Linked DNA regions of Xenopus tropicalis. The protein of the gene in region 5 purifies or fractionates together with the protein of the main gene of each other region. This does not show direct contact. Links are inferred from orthologs where the notes say so. Each region holds a gene or a part of one and is shown on either strand. Other genes may lie near its edges. The genes, in order: mier1, cdyl, znf644, dnmt1, ehmt2, chd4 and cbx5.

Evidence for each region.
Region 1: the proteins of ehmt2 (region 5) and mier1 purify together in Homo sapiens (co-immunoprecipitation; 3 studies listed by BioGRID and IntAct, with this or other methods). This does not show direct contact. The link is inferred for Xenopus tropicalis from reciprocal best matches to the Homo sapiens genes EHMT2 and MIER1.
Region 2: the proteins of ehmt2 (region 5) and cdyl purify together in Homo sapiens (affinity purification with mass spectrometry; 4 studies listed by BioGRID and IntAct, with this or other methods). This does not show direct contact. The link is inferred for Xenopus tropicalis from reciprocal best matches to the Homo sapiens genes EHMT2 and CDYL.
Region 3: the proteins of ehmt2 (region 5) and znf644 purify together in Homo sapiens (affinity purification with mass spectrometry; 3 studies listed by BioGRID and IntAct, with this or other methods). This does not show direct contact. The link is inferred for Xenopus tropicalis from reciprocal best matches to the Homo sapiens genes EHMT2 and ZNF644.
Region 4: the proteins of ehmt2 (region 5) and dnmt1 purify together in Homo sapiens (affinity purification with western blotting; 3 studies listed by BioGRID, with this or other methods). This does not show direct contact. The link is inferred for Xenopus tropicalis from reciprocal best matches to the Homo sapiens genes EHMT2 and DNMT1.
Region 6: the proteins of ehmt2 (region 5) and chd4 purify together in Homo sapiens (affinity purification with western blotting; 3 studies listed by BioGRID and IntAct, with this or other methods). This does not show direct contact. The link is inferred for Xenopus tropicalis from reciprocal best matches to the Homo sapiens genes EHMT2 and CHD4.
Region 7: the proteins of ehmt2 (region 5) and cbx5 purify together in Homo sapiens (affinity purification with mass spectrometry; 3 studies listed by BioGRID and IntAct, with this or other methods). This does not show direct contact. The link is inferred for Xenopus tropicalis from reciprocal best matches to the Homo sapiens genes EHMT2 and CBX5.

Annotation. Positions count from the first base shown.
Region 1 is NC_030680.2:83,762,884-83,767,092, forward strand, and holds the start of mier1 (mesoderm induction early response protein 1), read right to left. Parts: upstream 2,801-4,209; 5' UTR 2,703-2,800; coding exon 2,694-2,702; intron 1-2,693. UniProt on the Homo sapiens protein: Transcriptional repressor regulating the expression of a number of genes including SP1 target genes. Probably functions through recruitment of HDAC1 a histone deacetylase involved in chromatin silencing.
Region 2 is NC_030682.2:87,935,868-87,939,367, forward strand, and holds part of cdyl (chromodomain Y-like protein), read right to left. Parts: intron 1,799-3,500; coding exon 1,588-1,798; intron 1-1,587.
Region 3 is NC_030680.2:105,038,841-105,041,612, reverse strand, and holds the end of znf644 (zinc finger protein 644), read right to left. Parts: intron 1,677-2,772; coding exon 1,487-1,676; 3' UTR 501-1,486; downstream 1-500.
Region 4 is NC_030679.2:137,112,283-137,115,782, reverse strand, and holds part of dnmt1 (DNA (cytosine-5)-methyltransferase 1), read left to right. Parts: intron 1-359; coding exon 360-511; intron 512-989; coding exon 990-1,177; intron 1,178-1,294; coding exon 1,295-1,478; intron 1,479-2,026; coding exon 2,027-2,124; intron 2,125-2,212; coding exon 2,213-2,363; intron 2,364-2,523; coding exon 2,524-2,639; intron 2,640-2,714; coding exon 2,715-2,916; intron 2,917-3,066; coding exon 3,067-3,200; intron 3,201-3,500. UniProt on the Homo sapiens protein: Methylates CpG residues. Preferentially methylates hemimethylated DNA. Associates with DNA replication sites in S phase maintaining the methylation pattern in the newly synthesized strand, that is essential for epigenetic inheritance.
Region 5 is NC_030684.2:73,967,909-73,971,408, forward strand, and holds part of ehmt2 (histone-lysine N-methyltransferase EHMT2), read right to left. Parts: coding exon 3,443-3,500; intron 2,414-3,442; coding exon 2,327-2,413; intron 1,723-2,326; coding exon 1,644-1,722; intron 304-1,643; coding exon 128-303; intron 1-127. UniProt on the Homo sapiens protein: Histone methyltransferase that specifically mono- and dimethylates 'Lys-9' of histone H3 (H3K9me1 and H3K9me2, respectively) in euchromatin.
Region 6 is NC_030683.2:10,084,815-10,089,031, reverse strand, and holds the start of chd4 (chromodomain-helicase-DNA-binding protein 4), read left to right. Parts: upstream 1-1,417; 5' UTR 1,418-1,495; intron 1,496-2,844; 5' UTR 2,845-2,947; coding exon 2,948-3,026; intron 3,027-4,217. UniProt on the Homo sapiens protein: ATP-dependent chromatin-remodeling factor that binds and distorts nucleosomal DNA. Acts as a component of the histone deacetylase NuRD complex which participates in the remodeling of chromatin.
Region 7 is NC_030678.2:145,634,783-145,638,034, forward strand, and holds part of cbx5 (chromobox protein homolog 5), read left to right. Parts: intron 1-2,132; coding exon 2,133-2,295; intron 2,296-3,252. UniProt on the Homo sapiens protein: Component of heterochromatin that recognizes and binds histone H3 tails methylated at 'Lys-9' (H3K9me), leading to epigenetic repression. In contrast, it is excluded from chromatin when 'Tyr-41' of histone H3 is phosphorylated (H3Y41ph).

The DNA.
Region 1 (4,209 bases), on a different chromosome or scaffold from region 5:
TTAAACCTTAACTTCTGAACCCAAAATTTCTCAAACATGGGCAGTACACTAGAACACGGTAATGTTCATGAAGAATACATTTACTAAAACTAGTAACACAAAAAAACACCCTAAAAGAAATTACACATAATATCTACATGATATGCACAAAACTTTATGATTTTTTTTTATGACTGAGAAATGCCTGAACGGTTGAGGAGCCTGTGGAAACAACCTGTTACTGCTGGTAATTATAACCAAAAAAAACACAAATTATATTAGTATTCTTTAATTCCAGACAAAAAAAAAAGTGTGAGTACTTTATGGCCTACATGCACCTTTGCGAAGCTGGGAATATATGGGAAGAGCTGCTTGTTTGGTAAACCAACAACTGGATCATTATGGAGGCCTTTAAAGACCTATGGGGGGTGGTTTATCCAGGCTACTGGGAGTGTATAGAAACATACAGCTACTAACAGTACATTGCCTTTGAGCGCCACCATCTTCACAGACTTGCCATGGATCACACAGTATAGGAACGCAGAAATCACTGCAAGCACAGTATAGTAAAATTGGAAATATTAATGTACTGCCCATGCAAACAGTCCTAGCCAGCCATGGGACATCAGTGAAGTGGTGCAGTGCTCAGAGGAAAAGAACCCTGGGCAAGTATGTGTGATTGAATACCATAGCACAAAATACAGCAGAAGAGTTACAATTTATTTGAGGGACAGGTGGACACTGAGGTACTGCTGTGGTTCATAGGTGTCTTGTAGCTGCATACCATAGTGATGTTTCCCCACATTGCGCAATTCACTTTTCTTGGCCCTAGCGTTAACAGCCTGTAATTTGATATTATTTATGATTCTTATCCCGTGTAACGTATTTTAGACTAGACTTTATGTACAATGACAGGTGGCGATAAAACATCAAAATTAATCTGCAATTGCCAACCACTATCAGTCAAATAAATATGATTTTTCCTTGATTTGACTGTTTTACCCCAAGAAATATCAATATTTAGAAAGGGCAGGGTTATTTTGAACATTTTGTCATCTGTGACGTAGCATGGGTAAAAAAGAAAAAACCTCTGTCATTGCCCTACGGGTTGATTTAAACTTAAATCACATGTTGTTAAATCAAAATTAATTGACCAAAGCACACCACCAAATGCACAAGCTTTATACATGTATGGGATCCCTTATCCAGAAAGCTCAGAATTACGGAAAGCCTGTCTCCATTTTAATTAAATAATTCAGAATTTTAAAATTGATTTCCTTTTTCTCTGTAATAATAAAAAAAAAGTACCTTGTACTTGATCCCAACTAAGATATAATTAATCCTTATTGGAGCCAAAACAATCCTATTGGTTTTAATTAATGTTTTATTGATTTTTTTAGTAGACTTAAAGGTATGGAGATCCAAATTATGGAAAGACCCCTTATCTGGAATACCCTTGGTCCCGAGCAATCTGTACAACGGGTCCTATACCTGTTGTGGACTGCTGATTTGTTTTAATTGTGCTGGTACGAGTCAGGAAGTACAATGTGACTTTAGTTTCATTTTCAGGTTTTGACCTTTTCAGTGTAAGTAGTATCAAAAGACATACAAACTTTCCTAATTAAAACAATAGACAAATATTTTACTCATGTTGGAAAAGGTTGTATCTTGCACATTTAACTGTTCATAGAGACTTCAGAAAAAATCCTTTATGGGAATGGAACACAGTACATGTTATAACATGCTGCTGAATTCAATAAGGAAATAAACATTTCAACAAGCAACAACGTAGCAAAAGCATTATCTAAACTAAACTTTTTCCAGATCCACATCACGCAACTCTCTGTAACATATATATTTCTAAATATAAATAACATATCTTTACAAATATATATGTTAATGTAATTCCAGTTGAAAGCTGCATTTGTTTATCCCTTTTTGCTCTCTAGTTCTACAATGTCTCCTCAGTACTACATTGATACAAGTCAGAACCAGCAGTGCAGAGAAAAAGAAATCTGACTGATGTTGCTTTTAATATCCATTAGCAAAATGATTAACAGTTAACTTGAAAGCATTGACAATCTTGAATAAATGTGTATTGCAAATTGCAAAGATTTAGATTGTCTTTAATTAGGCAAAACAAAATTGGTGTTTGACTGACTTCCCCATTAAGAAGAGCATCAACGTTTACTGTAGGATACTGGGAACTGTAGTTTAAAAGCAAATGCGAACAATACGCCACAAGCTTGTTCTAAATGAAAGTTTGTGAGAAATTTAGAAAAAACCCTAAAGAGCGGAATCTTAGTGAAAATCAAATATGAAAGGCCGGCGTATAGAAAGAGCGCAATGAGTGGCCCTTCCGCAGTGACTAGCGCATATTCCCGCCTAAAGAGCAAGGGACGAAAGCGAAGTCTCAGGCTAGGCCGTACAAGCGGCCCCACTGCCTCCCCATCAGGGTGCAAGCTGCGCTCTATCAGTCAGTCCCAAGCGGCACCGCGCGTCGGGAAACACTCTGAGAAGTTTTCGTAAGGCGAGATTGGGCGGGAGAGCTAGAATGCAACAAGTTAGTGAAGGCTGCAAAAGGTTCGGCCTAGGGGGCTGCAATAGAGCCTATTACACGTGAGGTGTGGAGGGAATTCTCACCATCGTGAGATGAATGTATTTGTGACAGCAAAGAGGACTACTGGGGATGTTTATATGAGTTTCCTTCTTACCTCCGCCATGTTTGCCGTACTGACGGGTCACATCGCGGGTCAGCTCGAAACCCCGGATGAAACTTAGGATCCGCAGCAAAGGCGGAAGTGGATGCCTGCTCTCGTCTGACCGCCAGGTGGCGAGACCAATCAGCAGAAAGGAGGAGGCGCCCACTGTACCGACAGGCGTGGCAATGGCTTCTCACAAAACAAGGGCGGTTCGCCAGGGGGCGTGCGTTTTCCCAAGCCGGGTTGGAATACATAGCGTTTCCATGGGTACCAATAACGCTTGTTGTCGGAACCACGGCAGAGCTCAAGAAGAAGCGTCTGATATCTTATAGCTGGTACGCCGTGTCGTACCGAGATTTGCTAAGCCATGTCTGGCCCCACAGCTACTGAGGGGAAAGCGAAAAAGCTGAATTCAGTTGTCACAATGTAAGCACAAACGTTTTGTATTGCTTAAATAATGCGGCTAACTGTGTCTGATTTGTGTATTTCTTTCATTTATCTGTACATGTGTTTGTTATCCCTGTACCCATTTATTAAAGTAATTATATTACTTGTGAATTTGGGGGTAACAAGTTCATATTACCTGGGAGTACACACCAATTACAAAATAGCTCTTCTTTTTTAAAAAATGTTGCCTTTATTGTAAGGCCAGAAAGAAAGTCCATACGTGACAGTGTAGGAATCATGGTGAATTACAGGGGTAGTTCACCTTTAAATTAACCTTTAGTGTGACGTAGACAGTAACATTCTGAGACAGTTTGCAATTGGTCTTCATTTTTTATGGTTTTTCAATCATTTCACCTTTTGTTCAGTAGCTTTCCTGCTTGGTATATTAGCAGCTATCTAGTTGCTGGGGTTTTATTTTCCATAGCAACCAGGCAGTGGTTTGAATAAGAGACTGGAATGAGAATAGGAGGGGGACTTAATTAAAAAAAACAAGTAATTAAAAGCAACAATAACAATTAAATTGTAGCCTAACAGAGGAATAGTTTTATGCCTGTTGGGGTCAGTGACCCTGATTTGAAGGCTGGAAAAAGCTAGAGGAGGAAGCCAAATAATTCAAAAATTGTAAAGAATAATAATTAGTTTACCAGCGCATTAGTGATGCAAAGGGTTGGGCAGAGCAGACCAATTGCTACCAGAGGTGGGTTGCATCTGATGACTTCAGGTATAAATTTGCAGTATCTCACTGGGTCTGTCTCAAGTTAAAGGAACAGTAACACCAAAAAATAAAAATGTTTTTAAGTAATCATAATACAATGCACTGTTGCCCTGCACTGGTAAAATTTGCACATTTGCTTCAGAAACACTTCTATAGTTTATATAATAAGCTGCTGTGTAGCCATGGGGGCAGCCATTCAAGCTGGAAAAAGGAGAAAAGGCACAGGTTACATAGCAGATAACAGATAAAACACCATTGTATTGTACAGAACTTATCTGTTATCTGCTATGTAACCTGTGCCTTTTCTATTTTAAATGGCTGCCCCCATGGCTAAACAGCAGCTTCATTTACTAAACTATAGTAATG
Region 2 (3,500 bases), on a different chromosome or scaffold from region 5:
TTCCACTAAAGGCAACCTCTACTTCGTGACCTCCCTAAGGATGTTTGAAAAAAAAAAAAAAAAAAAAAATTATATTCATCTCCAGATATTACATTTGGTAAAAAGTTTCAACCCAATCTTCAAAATTCTTTGACAGGACACCATGATGGAAGATGAAATTGAGTGTAGGACTGGCCAGACCAGGGATGACTGACATAGTTGGCCAGCTTGAATATATTGTAATATATGGACAAACAATCCCTGTTTTGCTTTAAGGGAAGGGCTTGTCTTGGTAACTTAATGCACAGAAAGTCTTAATGTCCTATATATATATATATATATATATACATACAGTATTATAATGGGTGAGTGCAGAAGACCTCTTGTTGATGTCTACATGAGTATCTTTGTGAAAAGGCCTGGGATTGTAAAGCAATTCTTTTGGAATGCTTTAAATTGCAACTGTAAATGGGGGAAGATCAAAAATTCCCATACAGGTATATGTGAAAGGGGGAACTACAACTCCGATTAATGTCTAACCAATGGCAGGAGATCCTCTCAGCCCCAAAAGGATCCACCAGAGGCGCCAACCACATAAAGAAACACACAGAATTTACTCAAAGGTGGTACCTCACACCAAAATTTGTAGCCCTAATTTCTCCACATTGGTACGGTCATGTTTAACATTCACCTCAAAAATTTGCGAAATGGCAAAAATTACCAAAACATGCATTTTCTCATGGATTTTTTTTTCAATCCACAGAAACGTTTCTGGAGACAGTGTCGATAGCCAGGGACACATACCCCTCAGTACTACCTCTAGAACCTCAAGTGCTATCACTGCAATTACATGCAACGGGCTTTCCACATGAAACAAAAAAAGCTCCTATCCATATCTTTAACACAACTGCATCTCTTATTTGCAAAAGTATGGAAAAAAAATTTGAACCACCCCCCGTTCAGCATCTACTTCACCAACTAGATTTTAGAGCCAACATAAAAAAAAATGCTAACCACGACTGAATTTAAGGCTAAATGTGCCCAAATATGGGATGTATAGCATCAAGGACAAGCTTTTCAGCAGTTCTTCTCTGTACTTTAACCAAAACCACTGGGACTTTTCCTTACTCCTCAGTCAATACTTCTTGAAATGTTTTTTTTTCCATAACTACCTACAACAATTAATCTTGCAAAAACTCACATGCTCCCTTTGCTTTGTATGTGAATAACATACACACTATGTTAAAAAAAAACAAAAGTGTTGTAATTTTAAGACAAATTGTAATTTTAAGACACTGCAAAGTAATATGTCAAGGTAACTATTACAACAATGATTACCACAAAATTGTCTTTCTTCTTTGAAAAACAAAAAACAGCCCCTATGTATATATCTATAAACAAATATAGCATCCTATTTTGATTTAAACTGTTGAAAAGATGTCTGTTGTTAAGATACACTAAACTGTGAACAGGCAACTTAATAGACATACAATTGGGGACAAATTACAAACTTGCTGAAGTTCATGTTGGTTGTTTGGATATATGGAAGACATACTTGCTATGAATAAATACTTGTGAAAAAGAAGGGTGAAATGGATTACTACTTACTGATGCAAGACCCATTATCTTAGGAAACATAAGAGACGAGCATCCATCTGGGCTCTGTCCAAAAGTAGTGTAAGGTGTCTGGAACCAAGCTTTCTCATTGGCCCAAATAACATCACAAAGAGGCAATATTGATGCTCCAAGTCCAACTGCAGGTCCATTTACAGCAACAATTATTGGCTTCTTAAACTGAATGAATGTATTTACAAATGTCCTTGAAAATATAAAAATACACTTGAAATAATTATAGTTTTTCCACACAAAAATCTTACAAAACAAACTCATGCAGACTTTGCATATTCTTAAAGAATCACATAAATGAAACAATTTTCACATTATTAATCTTGCACAGTCTGAAATACTGAACCTAAATGGATATGATCTCTGTTCTCCTTCATTCTATACTAGGACCAGTTATCAGCACTGGATTATTATTAAAGTAACAAAGCCTTTGCTACTGTTTAAAGCACTGAATGAACAAATAATTATCCTAGGAATGAGAATAAGTACTATGAATGTTTTCCCGCATTCAGGACCCTGAACAGCAGTGGCTTATTCACTGTACAGTCATCCCTTTGAACAGCTGCAAAGAACACACTGTTACAGGTATCAGTTGTCAGATTCAAAAGTCCCACTCCTTGGCTGTATAACCATCATCTGGGGTTTATGTAATGTAGTCAAAGTACTTTTATTTTTACCTGCAACAGAGTAGTAATAGCTAATAATTCACTATAGCCTATTGAACAGTATCAAACACTGTCAATGTGCTATAGAACCACCTCATAGTCTAGAGGTTATATAGTGCTCTAAGTGAAAAGACTCATTCCTACCCTTTTGTATATTGTAAATCTAATAAAATACATTTCCATTAAAGCATTGTAATCTAATAAAATACATTTCTAATAATTCTAGCATATTTACTCTTATAAGTTACATGATGATGGCTTGTCTCAAAAACACAAAGAATGCAAGATACGTGTGAAAGATCTAGTCAGCAAGGTCTTTATTTTGGTCTATGAAATAGTAACATACGCTAAGAGGCGTATCAAATTAAATCAAATCAAATGATATTTTCCAAACAGGTGGAAGGTAATTTGTAAAAATGTGTTTAACCCATGAGCCATAGGAGCAGACCACATGAAAATGGTAGCTTCCAACTCAAAGTAGAAGACCCATCATTTGCCAACCACATTTAACATTCTGGGTGACTATGATGCCAAGTCTGGATTAATCAATATGCACAAAATGACTATGACTAAATTTGTTATCCTGATCATTCTATGAGTGGCCAGTCTTTAAATTAGTTTTAAACAGGGATGTTATTATGCATTTAGCTCTTCAAGTTTTTGTCAAATTAATACAAAAATAGGTTTAGGACAAAAATATAAGATGGGCAAGAATACTAATGCTTTCCGTGAACAAAAAAATTACTTTTTGATAAATTTATAAACTGAACCAGGAAGGTGAATTCTAAAAGTACATTGCGAGAGCTACTTGAATTTTATGCAGACTCTTAAGTGGAATTAACAAAAATGAAGCAGCTGCTAAATGATTTTATAGTAATACAAAGAAGGCTAAATGTGAGAGAGGTTTCTTCTTAAAAGGACAAGGAAAGTCTTTGCACAATGCATTGCCAGCTGTTAGTCAGAAATTACCACCCCATTAATTGCTAAAATCAACATTTGTTGTAGGCACAGGTAAAGGAAGGTAAATCCAGGAATTTATAATTAGCTTAAAGGCTTAATTTAACTGGACCATTGATGTCATTAACCTTTTTTGACAATACATCATACTGTGGCAATGTTTTTGCCCTGACAATGCTAGTAGATAAAAAATTAGTCAAGAAATTAGCAAAACCTGAATTGCCACCCACATTTTTGGTGGCTATGTAGACAGAAAGTAAAATCTACAAAAGC
Region 3 (2,772 bases), on a different chromosome or scaffold from region 5:
AGGGCACAGGATAAGTATTGGAGGGCACCTAACAGTTCCAAAGCAAGGTAGCCTGTACTTGGCATTTACCAGGTTACATCAAGAGTTCTGCTGAAAGGGTGCTGCTATCAGTCAATAATTACAAAAACATTTGCACCCTTGCCTGGTAAAGAAATGTAGACTAAAATCTTGGAAGGCAACTCATACAGCACCCCTGGCTTTGGAATCATTTAGGTGTCATGGATGCATCAGTATATCAAAGAAGATTGATAGAGAATGAATTATCGATTTCATATAAACCATTATGTCGTAAATGTATACACAAAATCATCAGATCCCCTTTAACATCTACAGAAAGGACATTTTTGTAATTCATACAAATCTGACCAGAAAAAAAGGAGTGTGTTCATAGTAATATTGAATATTTTTTGAAACTCATTATGTATTGCTTTCTTGGACTTTTTTTTAGTAATTAGTTTTTGAGTCGATGTTACTGAAGTTAAACACATTTAAACTTCAACTTTCCATCCTCACAACACATTTATTTTAATATTTCGGTAAGTGGGCCCTTAGAGCATAGTGTTACACAATGTTCATACACAATCACATCCAAAACAAGTTTTAAAATTTAATTGTAAACATTCTTGTATTTTGAAATCTTAAACTTCTGCTAAAATGATCGAATGTGAAGCTAAACGTAACATAAAAACACCCTTTAAGTGTGGTGAGAAAGGCATATTTACAAAATGTGTGTTTAATAGAGTACTAAGGTGCCAAACTAACATAAAATATTAAAAGAGAATAGCAAATGATTTTTTTTCTATAAACAGAACTTTGCTCAAAATCTACATTTAAAAATGTCATTGGGTAGATACATCTTTGTTGACAAAGTAGGAGGTAGCATGGATGCACCAGTTAGTGAGAAATGCAACTGAAATAAAGGATTTCCTTACAACAAATAGGTTCCATTAATATATATACACTTTTCAGAAAGATCTGTTAAAACAATTCACCTTCCACTTTTTAGTACAAAAATTTGTGTAATAAAAAACACATACATCTACGCATAAGAGTACTGATTGCCCTATTTGAATGGAACAGTCTTGTGAAATTTGCAGTACATGGTAATACTTAATGCCCTAAATTAAATACACTGAGTATCTGTTATTAGAGAAAGTAGTTTAAATAAATGTTTACAAGGATCCAATTCTTTTTTTCCCCCCCAAACTGGATGTCAGTCGTTACAAAAACTGGAAAAACACTATTTCAAATTTTTTCAACTACTACATTGCGTTGTATTACACTGTGTGTGTAATCAACAAAAAATAATATACAATTTAGCCAAAGATGAACTGGACAGCTTAATGTAAATTAAAAGTCTCTGTGATGCGGCAAATCAGCCTTTACTGTATCCATTGTGGTTTAAACAAACTTATCAACCTTTTATTTTTAAAAAAGTTTCAATGTACACCAAACAAGTCTTGTGGTTTTTAACATAATCTCGGTTCTATGATGTTGCTTCCATTAGAATAGGAAATGATGGTTCAGAGATTGAGGGAGGTTTCTTTAGCAGCGATTCCACTTCAACCATACCAGCCCCAGTCCTTGGAAGATTAGCATTAACTATATGGCGTTGCAAGTGCTTTATCCAGTCTTCTTGAATAGACAAAGGCCCACGAAATACAAGTCCACAAAACCTGTGAATGGCAAGGATCAGTAGGTTAAAGGGATTCTGTGATGATTTTTATGGTGAACTTTTTATTTCTAAATGACACTGTTTACATAGCAACATAAAGCAGCACCTAAAAATTCTTCTAGGCCAGTGCTGTCCAACTGGCGGCCCGCGACCCCCCTCTGTGTGGCCCCCCACCTGTCTGGCTGCTTTGATGGCTTACCTTTGAGTAAGCATTAAATGGTTTCAGTACTGAGATTAACTGGCCCCCTTTGATGGTTTACCTTTGAGTAAGCATTAAATGGTTTCAGTACTGAGATTAACTGGCCCCCTTTGATGGTTTACCTTTGAGTAAGCATTAAATGGTTTCAGTACAGAGATTAACTGGCCCCCTGCATGGTTCTCACCTCAGATTCAGGCTGTAATCCCTCTGTATAATTTAAACATGTAATCCCCTGTGTTTTTCACACCTTTTAATACCTGCATTGTTCAACCTCTGCAGTGTTCACACCTCAGGCTCAGGCTATAATCACTCCCATTGTTCACTTCTTCACACCTCAGACATAGGTACTGTAGGCAGAGTATGGCACATACAGCCAGCATAGGGCAGGTAGAGTATGGCACACACAGGCAGCATAGGTCAGGGAGGGTATGGCACACACAGGAAGGGTAGGGCAGGCAGAGTATGGCACACAGAGGCAGCATAGGGAAGGCAGAGTATGGCACACCCTGGCAGGGTAGGGCAGGAAGAGGATGGCACACACAGGCAGGGTAGGGCAGGCAGAGTATAGCACACAGAGGCAGCATAGGGAAGGCAGAGTATGGCACACACAGTCAGGGTAGGGCAGGCAGAGTATGGCACACACAGGCAGGGTAGGGCAGGCAGAGTATGGCACACACAGTCAGGGTAGGGTAGGCAGAGTATGGCACACACAGGCAGGGTAGGGCAGGCAGAGTATGGCACACAGAGGCAGCATAGGGAAGGCAGAGTATGGCACACACAGGCAGGGTAGGACAGGCAGAGTATGGCACACACAGACAGCATAGGACAGGCAGAGTGCTGCCTGTGTGTGCCATACTCTGCTTGCCCTATGCTGCTTGTGGGAGGTGAACCTGGCAGG
Region 4 (3,500 bases), on a different chromosome or scaffold from region 5:
TATTTTTGATGTATCTAGTTTATTTAAATCCCATCCTTGCTTTGTAAAGATGAATACTGAAACATTGGTTTAGCTCTTATGTTGTCTCAATTCACAAGATACAACTTGAACTACTTGGCCTTCAGTGCATTATATGCCTTTTGCCTAATAGGGAGGGGGGGGTGTGGGAACTTGCTGCAACCTGTGGTAATGCATTGGCTGTCTAACCAATACCTTCCGTTTTGCAATTAAAGACTTGTTAGTCTGACTTATTTTACACTTTGTTGTAGCACCATTGGGCCTTTCTCTTTGCCCTTCACTTGCCTTCAGGAAAATGCTGTGTTGCTCATAATCAAACTGTTATGCTTTTGGACTTGTAGCTTTTGCGGACTATATCCTAATGGATCCCAGTGAAGAATACAGCAGCATCTTTGCTCTGATGCAGGAAAAGATTTACATGAGTAAGATAGTTGTAGAATTCCTTCAGAATAACCCTGATGTGAGTTATGAAGATCTGCTCAACAAGATTGAGGTGAGCTCTTTCTTGCAAACGCTAACTCCACTCCTTAGATGAGAATACCAAGGAAATATACATTGATGCAACAAATTGCAGTGTTAAGGGTTAAATTCCCAGGTAGTATAACTGTAAAATCAAGATAAATGGAGGGCACTTGGGGCTTATCTAACTTTACATAATTGCCAAGATCAAGCATTTTCTCCTCCCTGCTTACTTTTTTACCTCTGCTAATGCTTAACCATGGGTGAGCTCCTGAAAATGTCTTTTCCCCAGCAGTAATGTAAATTGCCAGTGAGAACATATGCAATACTTTTTCCTACTATCCTTCTTGAGTTGCTGGAAGTGACCCATAGGATCTTAAGGCATTGTGGTAATCCATAAATATTTAGTTTCGGAAAGGGCAGGAACTTATCCATATGACATATGTTCATCTACAGAAACTTAATGGGTTTACATTTTCTTTTTTTTTTTTTTTTTTTACCTCTGCTTTCAGACTACCGTCCCACCTTCAGGCTTAAACTTTAACCGGTTCACGGAAGACTCTTTATTAAGGCATGCACAGTTTGTGGTGGAACAAGTGGAGAGCTATGATGAGGCTGGTGATAGTGATGAGCAGCCTGTTATTGTAACTCCCTGCATGAGGGACCTCATAAAGTTGGCTGGTGTTACCCTGGGCAAAAGGTTTGTTATAGCTGTGGGGCTATTTAAGTTTTAAGTGGGTAACTTGTAAAACAGAAGCGTCTGCAGTTAGTCAGTGCATGTTTCCTTCTCAGTGCTAACTTTAACTTTTCGTTTTAGGCGAGCAGCAAGAAGACAAGCCATTAGACATCCTACAAAGATAGAGAAGGACAACAAAGGACCAACAAAGGCCACTACCACAAAACTTGTGTATCAGATCTTTGACACATTCTTCTCAGAACAAATAGAGAAAGATGCAGATAAGGAAAATGGCATCAAACGCAGGCGTTGTGGTGTTTGTGAGGTATGGCTATTCAAAGTGTGTGGCCCTTATGATACTTCATTGAAAGGAATCTATACTGCACTTTGTTGCTTTTTAAGGCTAGATCAGAGTACAAAAAGCAGTGCTTTCTATAATAGACTAATAAATAGGATTACTTTGCTTTCAGGTTATCCAGCCAGTGTTCGGCCTACTTGACATAAAGGATCACCTGTCAAACACTGCCTTTTGGCAGTGGCAATTTGTGTTAAGACGTTTAAAGGGGTGGTTCACCTTTTTTTAAGTATTTACTGTAATATAATCTATTAGCCACTTTATGAAAAGACAAGTTTTTATATGGAGTTGCTAGGCTAAATTGGACCCAAGCAACCACTAAACTGTTCAAATTTGTGTGCCTTTTGAAGACCCAACTACACAGTGGGCCCTAGTTATGATTTGCTGGAGCCTTCAGACTCCAGAAATCATATTTGAAACCTTGTGTTTTCTAACTCAACCTGGTCCAAAACACAGCGCATCTTGGCAATATTTTAATTTTTTCCTCTGTTCTGAATTGAAGCCTTATTTTCCTTCAGGTGTGTCAGCAACCAGACTGTGGCCAGTGCAAAGCTTGCCAGGATATGTTAAAGTTTGGTGGGGCAGGCCGTACCAAACAAGCCTGCACACAGAGAAGGTAAGGGTACACATGTATATAGGAATACATGTAAGTTGGCTAAATTGACATCTGCTGTAAAATGTGACACTACCAAAAAATACTTCAGGTGTCCAAACCTGGCAGTAAAGGAAGCAGATGAAGATGAGGAAGTTGAGGATGTTGTACCAGAAATGCCTTCGCCCAAAAAGATCCTTCAGGGAAAGAAGAAAAAACTGGAGAAAAAGAACAGGATCTCTTGGGTGGGAGATCCAATTAAGGTATTTTACATCTCAAAATTTGTGTAGGCAATATACGCAATGTTTAAAATATGCATATTTGAAATCTGAGGCGCCAACATCCCATCAAGAAAGTATATAGGTCCATTACTCTTGTGCATTTTATAGATGTCATGCAATGTGGCTTTATTTTTCTTTAAAGACTGAAGGAAAAAAAGACTTTTACCTGAAAGTGTCCATTGACTCTGAAATCTTGGAAGTTGGGGATTGTGTATCAGTGAGTCCTGATAATCCAACAGAGCCTCTGTACTTGGCAAGGTTTGTAACCACTTACTCCTAACATGTAGTTAAAGAGTTGGTTGGTGTGAAGTTGCTAATTTTTGCTGGTTTTAGGATCACATCCATGTGGGAGGATGCCTGTGGGCCAATGTTCCATGCGCACTGGTTCTGCCTCGGCACAGATACAGTTCTTGGTGCAACATCTGATCCCCTCGAGCTCTTTCTTGTGGATGAATGTGAGGACATGCAGTTATCCTATATTCATGGCAAAGTGAAGGTCATTTACAAAGCGCCATCTGACAACTGGTTCATGGAGGTGAGAAACTTGTAACCTAATTAACATTCGCAGACATTCATTAAATCTTAAACAGGCTTGCAATTAATTGCAACCAATAGAAGGCTGGTTGGGTGAGTTAAGTTCTCTCTATTGGCAATCTGAATTTCGAATGTTCACTTGTTTTCACAGGGAGGAACACACACTGATATAAAGGTTGTGGAGGATGATGGAAGCACTTATTTTTACCAGCTGTGGTATGATCCAGAATATGCACGCTTTGAGACTCCTCCCACCCCTCAGCCTACAGAGGACAATAAGTATAAGTAAGTTATTTCTCTTCAGTAGACCAGTGTTCCAACAGTTTTTGTATTGGGTTGACTAATTAGTTTTGCTGGGCATTTAGACTTCCGTGTCAGTCCAAGCTATAATAAGTACACTGCTACAGTTAGCTGTTTTCTCGATAAGTGATCCCATTGTCTAGAAAGCTGAATTGTGGAATGGCAATGCTTTTTTTTATATTTACAAAATTTTCAAATTTCCTTCTGTAGTATTAACAGTACCTCGGGCTTGATCCTAAGATATAATTTAACCCTTTTTGGAGGTGAAAAAAAACCTACGCAGCT
Region 5 (3,500 bases):
GAGCATGAATGAATAGGTGGGAGCTGCCACACGACAGGTAACTGCACAAACCCAAACAAAAATGGTAAAAATTTCAACTTTTATTCCATTTCTATAAAACTCACTTCTTGTAAAATGGAATTCTTACCCCAGTTCTTCTCCTGCACGGATATCCCTCCCACTGAAGAAGGCTATTCGAGGGAAGCGCAGATCTTGATGAGACATGAAGACCCGCACTGGGATCAGGTTTGGCTCACAAAGGTGATTAATAAAACGACTGACATTTCCATAATATCGGGCATCAATGCAGTACACTTCTCCATCCTGGCAGAGAGACAGAATTTACAATGAACTAAAAAGATGGAGAGTGTGAGAAATGTGAACAGACTAAGGAGAAAGTGACAATAGCAAGCTTTATAAAACTGATCATCCCCCTATAAAATCAGACCTAAATGCACCAAGAGATGCTTGGTAGGCTTTTTTCCATCTGTTTTTGTTTTATCATTGATTTTTAAGAGGTCAGAAAGTGGTTCAGAAATTGTATGTGGGTCTGTTTCTTGGATCAAATAAATTACACAATTTTCTTAATTATTGAGGTCACCAGGCACTCTAGTTTCCGGTTTAGTACAATTAACACTATTAAGATTCTTAAACTACTTACTAGAGGCAGATACATTCATTGTAATACAGCTTGCTCACAAATAAATGAATTAACTGACCTATACACTGGGGCCATCTTAAACAACTGTAGCAAACAAAAAAAAAAATCATAGCTGCACTCACCTTAGGCAATTTTCTTTGGTGCAAAGTCTCCTAGGCGTATGGCAGCGCCCCAACAATGTATAGAACAAAACAGAAATAGAGACTGCACTCAAGCAAAATTTCAGCTGGGGAGCTTCCCCCATTTATTATGCCAATGTATCACAAAAAAAATCAATGTTTCAGGGGAGCACTCTACTGACTAAGGAAACGTTGAATTTTTGTGGTACATTGGCATAATAAATGGGGTAAGCTCCACAGCTGAAATTTTGCTTGAGTGCAGAGTCTATTTCTGTTTTGTTCTATACATTGTTGGGGCACTGCCATACGCCTAGGAGACTTTGCACCACAGAAAATTGCCTAAGGTGAGCAAGCTGTATTACAATGAATGTATCTGCCTCTAGTAAGTAGTTTAAGAATCTTAATAGTATTAATTGTACTAAACCGGAAACTAGAGTGCCTGGTGACCTCAATAATTATGTAAATTGTGTAATTTATTTGATCCAAGAAACAGACCCACATACAATTTCTGAACCACTTTCTAACCTCTTAAAAATCAATGATAAAACAAAAACAGATGGAAAAAAGCCTACCAAGCATCTCTTGGTGCATTTAGGTCTGATTTTATATGGGGGATGATCAGTTTTATAAAGCTTGCTATTTTCACTCTCTCCTTAGTCCATTAACATTTCTCATTTGTTTTGTTCTAGCCATCTTAAACAAAACAGTTAGCAGGTCTAGCTGAGATTAAATAAAGACTGGTGATACATGGAAGTTCATACATTCTCTTAAAAAAGCAGACTAGAAGAAAATGGAGAGCAAACTGATCTATAGCTTACTACGTGCATATTCCTAAAGACAAATCTTTGCTCTAGATCTGTGTACCTACAGAAAATGTTTTTTACCTTGTTGTCCAAATCAAACAAGTAAGAATCATCTTCTCGAACATCAGCTTCAGCATCGGAGATCAGTTCCCCAACATACCTGAATTTGATTAAAAAAAAAAATTTACAAAGCATCTGGAAAGGTCAGTTTCATCCATATGAAGTCAGTGTTTAGAATGTGTTGAAGTCTGATGCTAAGTAAAAGCCTTTTATATTATTTTCTTATTCACTGTTTTATCTTGCATGGGTAAGTTTGTTTTTAGCAAGCATAATTTGAATATTCTCTTTTCTAGATGTAGTATGCCATTGCTCCTAATACTATTTTGAGCAACACTATCCCCCAAATAATAATGGAAATGCAGCTGTTGCTTGATTTTGTCTTAGCTGTGCCTCTATGAAGTCCTGCTGAGCACCCAACAAAGTAAAGAACAGTTTCAAAAAGGAGTCTTTGCTGCTAGGATTTAAAGAAATTGCATGCAGAGACTTGGTCTCCTTCCAAAGAACCTCAGATACACCAAAATCCTTGGCCCATTTCACCCCCAATAGGATATGTTGGGGCTTTAAATTTAGGCTATATATAATGAAGAATGGTATAAAGATCAGATCTGAATAATTATTTAGGGCTGCTAAAAGAAATCCAAGTACACACTTTTAAAAAATAATGTTATGTATGATGACTAGGCATAAATTAAAAGTAGACTTACTCGCAGATGAAGGTTCCCTGAGGAATTGCCTGCAGGGCTCTCACACCCCAGCCCATCTTGGCCGTGCGATATAGCTGCAGACGTACCCTAATATTGTTGGGTAAGGAATAAATAGGAACAAATTAAAGAGGACCTGTCACCCAGACATAAAAAGCTGTATAATAAAAGTACTTTTCAAATTAAACATGAAACCCAAATTCATTTTTATATTAACACATTCAAGCCCATTATAAAAGCATTTCAAAATCCCAGCTACCAATCAGATATTGCTTGCTTAGGCATAGAGGTGGGGCAGACAATAACTTCAGCTTTCCGCTCAGCACTACCTAGATGTCACTGCACATCTCACTTTCCCCCTCGCTCCTCATCATCTAATGATGTAGCCAGTGCTTGGGCATGGGCATCTGGTCCTACCATTCTGGTACATAAACAAGATTTTGGCATGATACAAGGTTTGGATTTATATTATTTATATAGAGTAAGTAAAGTTTATTTTGCTTAACTAAGAATATAGAAAATAATTTAGAGTTATTTCTTAGGGTGACAGGTCCCCTTTAAAACAGGCTTTATTAAGTCTATGAAAAAATTGCTAAGCTTGTGTTCAGTCTCCAAATCTCCTCTGTCACAGAAATTATGGTCTATAATTCTCCCTCACTGACTTAAACTTGTGGTATAAGACAAACAAGAACTAAGGTTTAACAGTTTATATTAAAAGGATACACTATCATTAGAATATTACTAGTTCATACTTAAAAATAAAATATAATACTGTTTATAGCAATGAAACTTTGGCTTAAAATATTAATATGAGCAGTTAGTCACTTTTTTGTGCATGCATGAGGTTTCCTTATTATGTATGGCCACACATACACACACTGCCTGTTTGGCCTGTTGGCTAAAATTATTTAGAGTGCAACTTCCCTAAAATAGGACAATTTGTATTTAGAAATTAAGACCATTAAATATAGATTTTTTCCCATAAGAAAGTATAGTCTATAGAAACAAAAAATATACATACTGGAGTAAAGCACCTGGAGATTACGGCAGAAATATGTAGATGTTACCATGGCCTGTTAAATAGATCTGTGGGTCATCTTTACACTGAATAACACTTACTTTATACCACTTTGCACCACTCTGTTTTTGCAAGTCTGCCAACAAGAACAGGCCTGGT
Region 6 (4,217 bases), on a different chromosome or scaffold from region 5:
GGGTAGGGGTTTGAAATGTAAGTGTCTCCATGGGTATAGGTGACCAGATATCAGTAAGTACACCTGGAATCTATCTGTGTGTGGCCACCATTACTGGAAAATGTATGAGGTACTTTAGATACTGAGATGTATATCTAGCAGTACCAAAACATGGGCCTGTGGCTTTATATTATCCTGGTAAAAAGTTATCGGCACATTTATGAGGTACTTTAATAGCCAATTTAGAAGTTACTGAGTGATTTATACTTAGTTAGCTGGCCTGGACTGGCAATCTGCAGATTCTGACAAATGCTAGAGGGGCTACTATAACATGCCAAAAGACAGTCACTATCTATTGCGCTTGTGGGGGGGCTGTTTGGGCCTCTGTGTTACTTGCCAGGGCCTATCTTGAATATTAGCCTGGCCTTGCTAGTTAGTACCATGATGTCTGCCTCTGGCCTCAGAGGATCCTGTTATAATGTTAATGGCACATTTATGAGGTATTTCAGTAACCATTTTAGTTACTGATGCTGAGGGATACTGAGATTTATTCCTGGTAGTAGATAGTATAAACTTACTACCGGTAGCACATTTATAGTAGCCAAGTTAGAAGCTGAAGGCATACAGAGATTTATCCCTAGCAGTAGTAAGTAGTATAAAGTTACTTGCACACATATATATAAGGTACTTTAGTGGCCAAGGCAGGGAGTTGTCACTGAAGCTGAAGGCATACTGAGATTTATCCCTAGTAGTAGTAAGTAGTATAAAGTTACTTGCACGTATATATAAGGTACTTTATTATTACAGGACTCCATTATCGGGATACAAGGAACAGATGTAGCCAGAATTGTGTGCCACAGATGACCGGATGCTATTTAGGGTATATTTTAGAAGCAAAACATTATGAAGGCCTCCAGTTATTATAGGGCCACAGATATTATGGGGCCCATACAGGAGGTTGCCCAGGTATATCAGTGTTACCCTGGAGAGAAGCTATTAGTCCAGGGCCATAGGAACCCTGTATTTGGAACCACCTGACAATGTGGAGAGGTACTCTGATAGGAAGGACTTATTATGGGATGCTGAGGGTAATGTTACTTACTCTGGGATGCCAGTGTGACTATTATGGGATGTCAGTCTGTGTCTCTTGTCTCTATGGCATGTCAGCAGGACATATTATGGGATGTCAGGCACCCTTAGGTTATTATGGGATGGCAGAAGTTGGTTATTATGGGATGTCAGGCTCCCTGGGTGTTATTATGGGATGCCGGGAGGTATTATGGGATGTCAATCTCACTCATGTTATTATGGGATGCCAGATGGAGTATTATGGGATGGCAGGCTCTCTCGTGTTATTATGGGATGTCGGGGGCCGCCCATCTCCCCGGCAACGCGCTGGTTGCTATGGTAACTGGGCGGGGGCAAGGGAAGGGGCGGGATTTTTACCATCACTGCCGGTGTGTCGGGGAGAAAGGAGCGGGAGAGGCACCGGCTGGAGGCAGCGCATGTGGAGCGGGTATGTGAGGGGCTCTGGGGGGGGAGAGGCGGCTGGCCCGGCTCGGGAGGGCTACGGGCTCCTTCACGAACTTACCGGGATTGTGTGTCCGGCGGGGGGTTCTGTCAGGCTTAGTTCCGGGGTGTCTATTCCCCGCAGCGGCCGGAGGGGGGGGGGAGTGGGTGACATGGGGTGTCCCTCCGGCAGTCCGCCGGGTACTCCCAACTTCCGGCCCCCCAAGTGCCGCCTCATGGAGCCACAACTGCGTCCCCTGCCTTTCTATTGTGTTCTGCCGGGACCTGACCCGGTGTGCCCCCCTCGGTACCGGCCTGATACTGACCCGGTGTGCCCCCCTCGGTACCGGCCTGGTACTGACCCGGTGTGCCCCCCTCGGTACCGGCCTGGTACTGACCCGGTGTGCCCCCCTCGGTACCGGCCTGGTACTGACCCAGATGGATCCTCTCAGTACTGCCCCCCTTCATTACCAGCCCTCCCCTCCCCCTCACTACCAGCCTCATATTAGTCCATTTCATTCTGTTATTAACCCATGTGTTCCCCACTCGGTACTGGCCTGGTACCGGCCCATGTGTGTCCCCCCTTATGGGTTCAGTACCTTCAGTACCGGGCCCATGGACCCCTGGCCTGTGCCCCCCCTCCTTATACTGTACCATGATCTACCCCCCCCCCCCTATACCATCAGGATTGTGGCCCTTCTGGAACCTTTTCATAGTCCTGTGTAGCCGCAGTGGCCACTTGGGGCCAGTAGCCCATACAAGTCTATGCCCCACATAGGTCTGTAGCCCCAGTATTAGCCAGTGTCTCTGTACCATGTGTAGTGGCTGCAAGCCCCCTGTGTAATATATATCCTCTGGGATATACCATCTGGAACTCGTGTGACCCATTCTGGCGCTTGGCAAGCTGGATCCATTCCGTGTTGCCCCAGGGGATGTATGGCCCATGGGAGCTGTGTCCGGCTCTGTGATACTGAGCACAATGGCGTGAGTCTGTGTGCATTCTCATAGCCACTCGTAGATCCGTGCTTCTGGCCTATAGAAACAAAGCAGCGTCCCTTGGCAACTGGAGGGATGTAGTTGAACTACAAGCTTGTGCTTATTTAATGTGTCCTTTGTCCTTCCCCGTCCCTGTGCTGCTGTATGATGTGAGGCCTTTGCTAATTGCATCCCCTCCTAATTGTGACGTCGGCTGTTTCTGTGCCACCACACATTACCTGGCCAGCATGGCTTCTCAGTAGCCTAGTGCCACTGGAGCAGATACCGGGCCTGTACTGATGGCACATTTGGGCCTATGGGTTTATATATAGTTCTGTGAATAAAATAAGCTTGTACTTACCCATGTGTCTCTCCTCACAGCACCCTGTCCAGTGCCAAACAGTGAGCCCCCCACCTCAAACATCGCCTGCTGTTCTCTGCTGCTACTTCTCACCCCCTGGTGCCATTTTGCTCCGTCTTGGACATGGCCTCCAGTCTGGGACCTTCTTCGCCCGGCAGCGACGGTGAAATTGAAGTGATGCTCAACAGCAGCATCCATCAAGGTAAAAGAACCGGAAACGGACCCGTGTGTGTCGTGCCTGTTTTATAAGTGGGAAAGGAGGTGTCTGTATTGATTTCCCATAGTGTGTGTTGTAGGTTGGTGTGTGGCTCTAGTAGCCAGTGTTGAATTTGCATGGGTTGTATATATAACAATGTGTAGGCCTTCCATTGGGACAGAGCCCACAGTGACCTGGCTGGTTCTGGACGCCGGGTTCAATATGGCAATTTATTTATACTATTTCCTGTGTTCCATCATCTTTGGGACTGATGTTAGGGACTCAGGTCTAGGCCTCCTGGGCATATGGGTAACTGCTTGTTAACCCCTTTTTGGTATGGTCTGTGGCCTGAACTGATTGGCTGTCAGATGTCTACTGGCTAATACTGTATAGAGTGCTCTTTGTAAAGGTGCATTTAGGCAGTTGTGGGCTCAGCCCAGGCATTGTTTTGCTTCAGGGTGTGTACATTGTACTGGCTCTCTGGGTTCCAGTATGACGCCATTTATGTATACATTTGGGTGTCACAAAGGGAATGAAGTATTGAGTTGTTAAGCAAAATGAGTGTTTGTGGGCCTGCATCAGTTTCTGGCGCTTCTGGCCCTTTAAGGACTTGATGCCTGGATTTGTGCACATAGCTCTGCCTTGTGGGTTCCTTGGGGCCCTTTGTAAACCCTTTAAGAGTACTGGTTATGGTTCTCTCCGGACCTTCCAGCCTCCGTTTATTTGTTTTTATTATTTACAATAACAAATTTCTTTAATTCTGTGAAAGTGTTTTTAAAATAGCAGAGCTTGAAAGGGCAATGCAGATAGTGCTGGGGGGGGTGACTGTTGGCATACCCCCCCCCCCCTTCCCCATGGTAGCTGTCTGCCCTAAACCACAAAGCAGGTAAATGGCCCCTGGAAATGACTGTTGTTCCTAGGGATCCAGCCAGTGTTGCGGCTCTGGTCGTATGGGGTTATCCATTATAAATACTGACCTCTGTGCCCTGGATTGGGGATTGGTCTCACACCTATGCTGGCCATATAAACAGATGGTGGCATGTTCTGTATTTATTGGCTATGGTGTGTGTTGGAAATGCCGGATTCTGGGTCTGTGGAAAGCATGTAAAGTGTAAACAGTGTCCCCAGAAGCAAAGTGGCTTCCCGTGTAGTTGCCGGCAGGCTGGCGAGGAAGGGGAGCCACTTCCTGCAGTTGTC
Region 7 (3,252 bases), on a different chromosome or scaffold from region 5:
AATGTTTGTCGTTTTGTTTAATTGGGCATTAGAGCAGTTTCCTAATTCCTAAATGCATTCAGTAGAATTACACCGTTTAGGGCTTGTTGGCCCATGGTCTTTGCAGTAGCTGTAACTGAGTTTCTGTGACACTCTGCAATATTAGATGCCCAGAGCCTACCTTGAGCTTTCCGTTTAGGTGGATGGCATTAGCTCCTGGATGCATTAGTGGCTAGAATGTGGAATGTGACTTCAAGATGTTCCAATGCAGTTGCCTAGACCAAGTCCTCTACCAAACCAATAGTAGGACATCTAGAAAGAGACATCAAGGTGACTCAGAGAGATATGGGACACAAACACATTGGCTTTATGCAGACCACAAAATGGAGCACAACATGATCTAATTTAGCTCCCAGTTCTTTCCCCTAGTGGAGAGAATTGCTGACGGGATAACACAGTGCTACAGTAGTTAGCATTGCTGTCATGAAACACTGAAGTGTTTCAGCCAATGGAATGGTGATATTTCAGTTTTTCCTAGATGCTCTTGTCAAATTTTATTTGCTGAATGAGTACTCTTCAACTCATCTTGGACAAGGGGGTATACTGACTTTTTAATATATAATTATAGTTTCCCTTTACAACTTCTTTCTTTCAACTTCACTAGTGCAATTACTATCGGGTAATTAGATGTTTTGGATCAACTCTTAATGACTAAAGAAATATCAGGCCTGCCAGTCACCTTCCTGTATCATCAGTATGGAATAGCCTCACCCCTCTGTCCATTCAACACTGGGGCTCATTCATTTGCTTGAGACTGGACATGAGATGAACTGCTTGAGAAATAATTGCTGAAATATTGCACAGCACTATTATACATCATTTACTGCTCCATTTAAGCTTACAAGCTAAGTTCATTTAGTGGGCAGTAATATCAGGAACCAATGCCTGTATGTTTTTGGAGTGTACAAGGGAACCCACACAGACACAGGGAGACCATTCAGACTCCATGCAGATAGTGCCTGACTGCCATTGAACCCAGGACCCCAGCGCTGCAAGACAGCAATACTAATCTTTAACTACTGTGATTTAAAGTATTGGTGCTAATATAACCAAGTTATCCAAGCAGAACCACATAACTAATTACATATGTTCTTGATAGGTTTCGCTTAAGGTAATAAATCAGATATACTACGCTAAAGTTCTGCAAAGGTCCAGTTGGACAAACCCTGTGCTGGACCCGCTGACCGATTACCCAATGTGTCCTCTACCTAAACCCACTATCCCTGACTGCAGCTAGACAACTTTACCTTCTGACCCAGAACTGTAAAACTGGAAGTGACGTCATTGTATACAGGAAGTGATGTCACTGTAGGTTAAGGGAAAAAATGGGTGGGAGGGAACATTCCTGCTCCTTCACCTTAACCCTGGCGGACTGCCCGGACTGTCAGAAAAACAGGAACTTTATGCCCGAAACCCAACCACTCTACATGTATTCAGTGGGTACCCAACCTGATGCAGGAAAAAAAATGTCAAAAAACAAATTTTGCCCATTGCTATGGATTCACTGAGAGACATGGATTGGTAAACACTGTATAAACTAAACATTGCATTGTGAGAAAAAAAAAAAAATGTCAATTGCGCTTGAAACTGCACTTTGCTCACTGCACGTGTGGACGTACATGTGCCCTTTTGTATTCAATTAAATGAAAATAATTGTTTTCTATACTCAACTCTTCATTATGGTTATGTCCAGTTCTGCTGTGCCCCCAATTATCACTAAGGTCCCTACTTGACCCTTGCAGCTGTGATAGTAATATATGCTTCCACCTGGCACCAAATAGTGCGATACACGAGCACCCACACCAACAGAGGTTTGTGTAACAGAGTTAGAGTCACCTTAGTTGAAGGGCAGATCAGCGCTGGCACGGGCCTCCAGGGATCCAAGCCTGTTTAAATGGGCACTGACACATGGCATGAATTTCTTAGTCACAATAGGGTCAGTTGTACCTGTACTTTGTTTTTATTTCAATTCTATTCTAATTTACAGAGCTGCGCCTACAAGTAATACTGCGTAAATAATAATATACATTTATAAATCCTGTCATTTTATGTCCCAAGGAAATTCTATCCATTTTATAATATCTGTTTTGCAGGTCCTAGGCCCAATAGGGAGGGCACAATGGGAAAAAAGAACAAAAGAGCATCAGATGCCTCCTCTTCCTCTGAGGAAGAAGAGTATGTTGTGGAAAAGGTTCTCGATCGAAGAGTGGTAAAGGGACAAGTAGAATTCCTTCTAAAGTGGAAAGGCTTCTCAGAGTATGTATGCTGTCTTTTTGTGTCTGGGCGTCAAGTGGGCTGTACAGTGGTATACATAGTGTGTATGGGGGGGTTTGGAAATTAGTATCAGAAAAGGAAAGCAACTCATTCAGAAATTTCTTTAAGAAATAAAAAATGAAGACTAATAGAAAAGTTGCTAAGAATTGGACATTCTCTAACATACTTAAATTGAACTTAATTGCGAACCATCTGTTTTAAGTAAACAGATGAGCTTTATTCACTTTGGAGGGTCAATTAGCACTTAGTTAGCCATTTAATTCACTTGGTGGTGAGAGGGGCTAACAGATTAATATCCTTTTAGTGAATTAGGCTTTCCTTGTCCTTTTAAAGGAACAGTAACATAAAAAAAAATGAAAGTGTATTAAAATAGTATAGGATGTACTGCTGCCCTGCACTGGTAACAGCTGTGTGTTTGCTTCAGAAACCCTACTATAGTTTACATAAGTACCCTGCTGTGTAGCCCCGGGGCAGCCATTCAACCTGGAAAAAGGAGAAAAGGCACAGGTTACATAGCAGATAACAGATAAGTTGCATAGATTCCCATTGTATTCTACACAGTTTATTATTTATATGCTATGTAACCTGTGCCTTTTCTCTTTTTTCCAGATTGAATGGCTGCCCCCATGGCTACGCTAGAGCTTATTTATATAAACTATAGTGGGGTTTTTGTAGCAAACCCCCCCCCCCTTTTACCAGTGCAGAGCAACAGTACATTTTATTTTAATTACTTTAAAACATTTTTATTTTTTAGTGTTACTGTTCCAGGCATCCAGGTAAAGTGATGGATGGACACAGTTATGTCCATGGACAGCTTATAGGTATTCTCATTGTTCTAATATATATAACCCCTCATTCCAGGGAAATGCAGGGAAGAGCATTCTGAGCAGTTTGTTACATGATAGGAAATGCAATTTTTGTGCTACTGAGAGTAAAAAG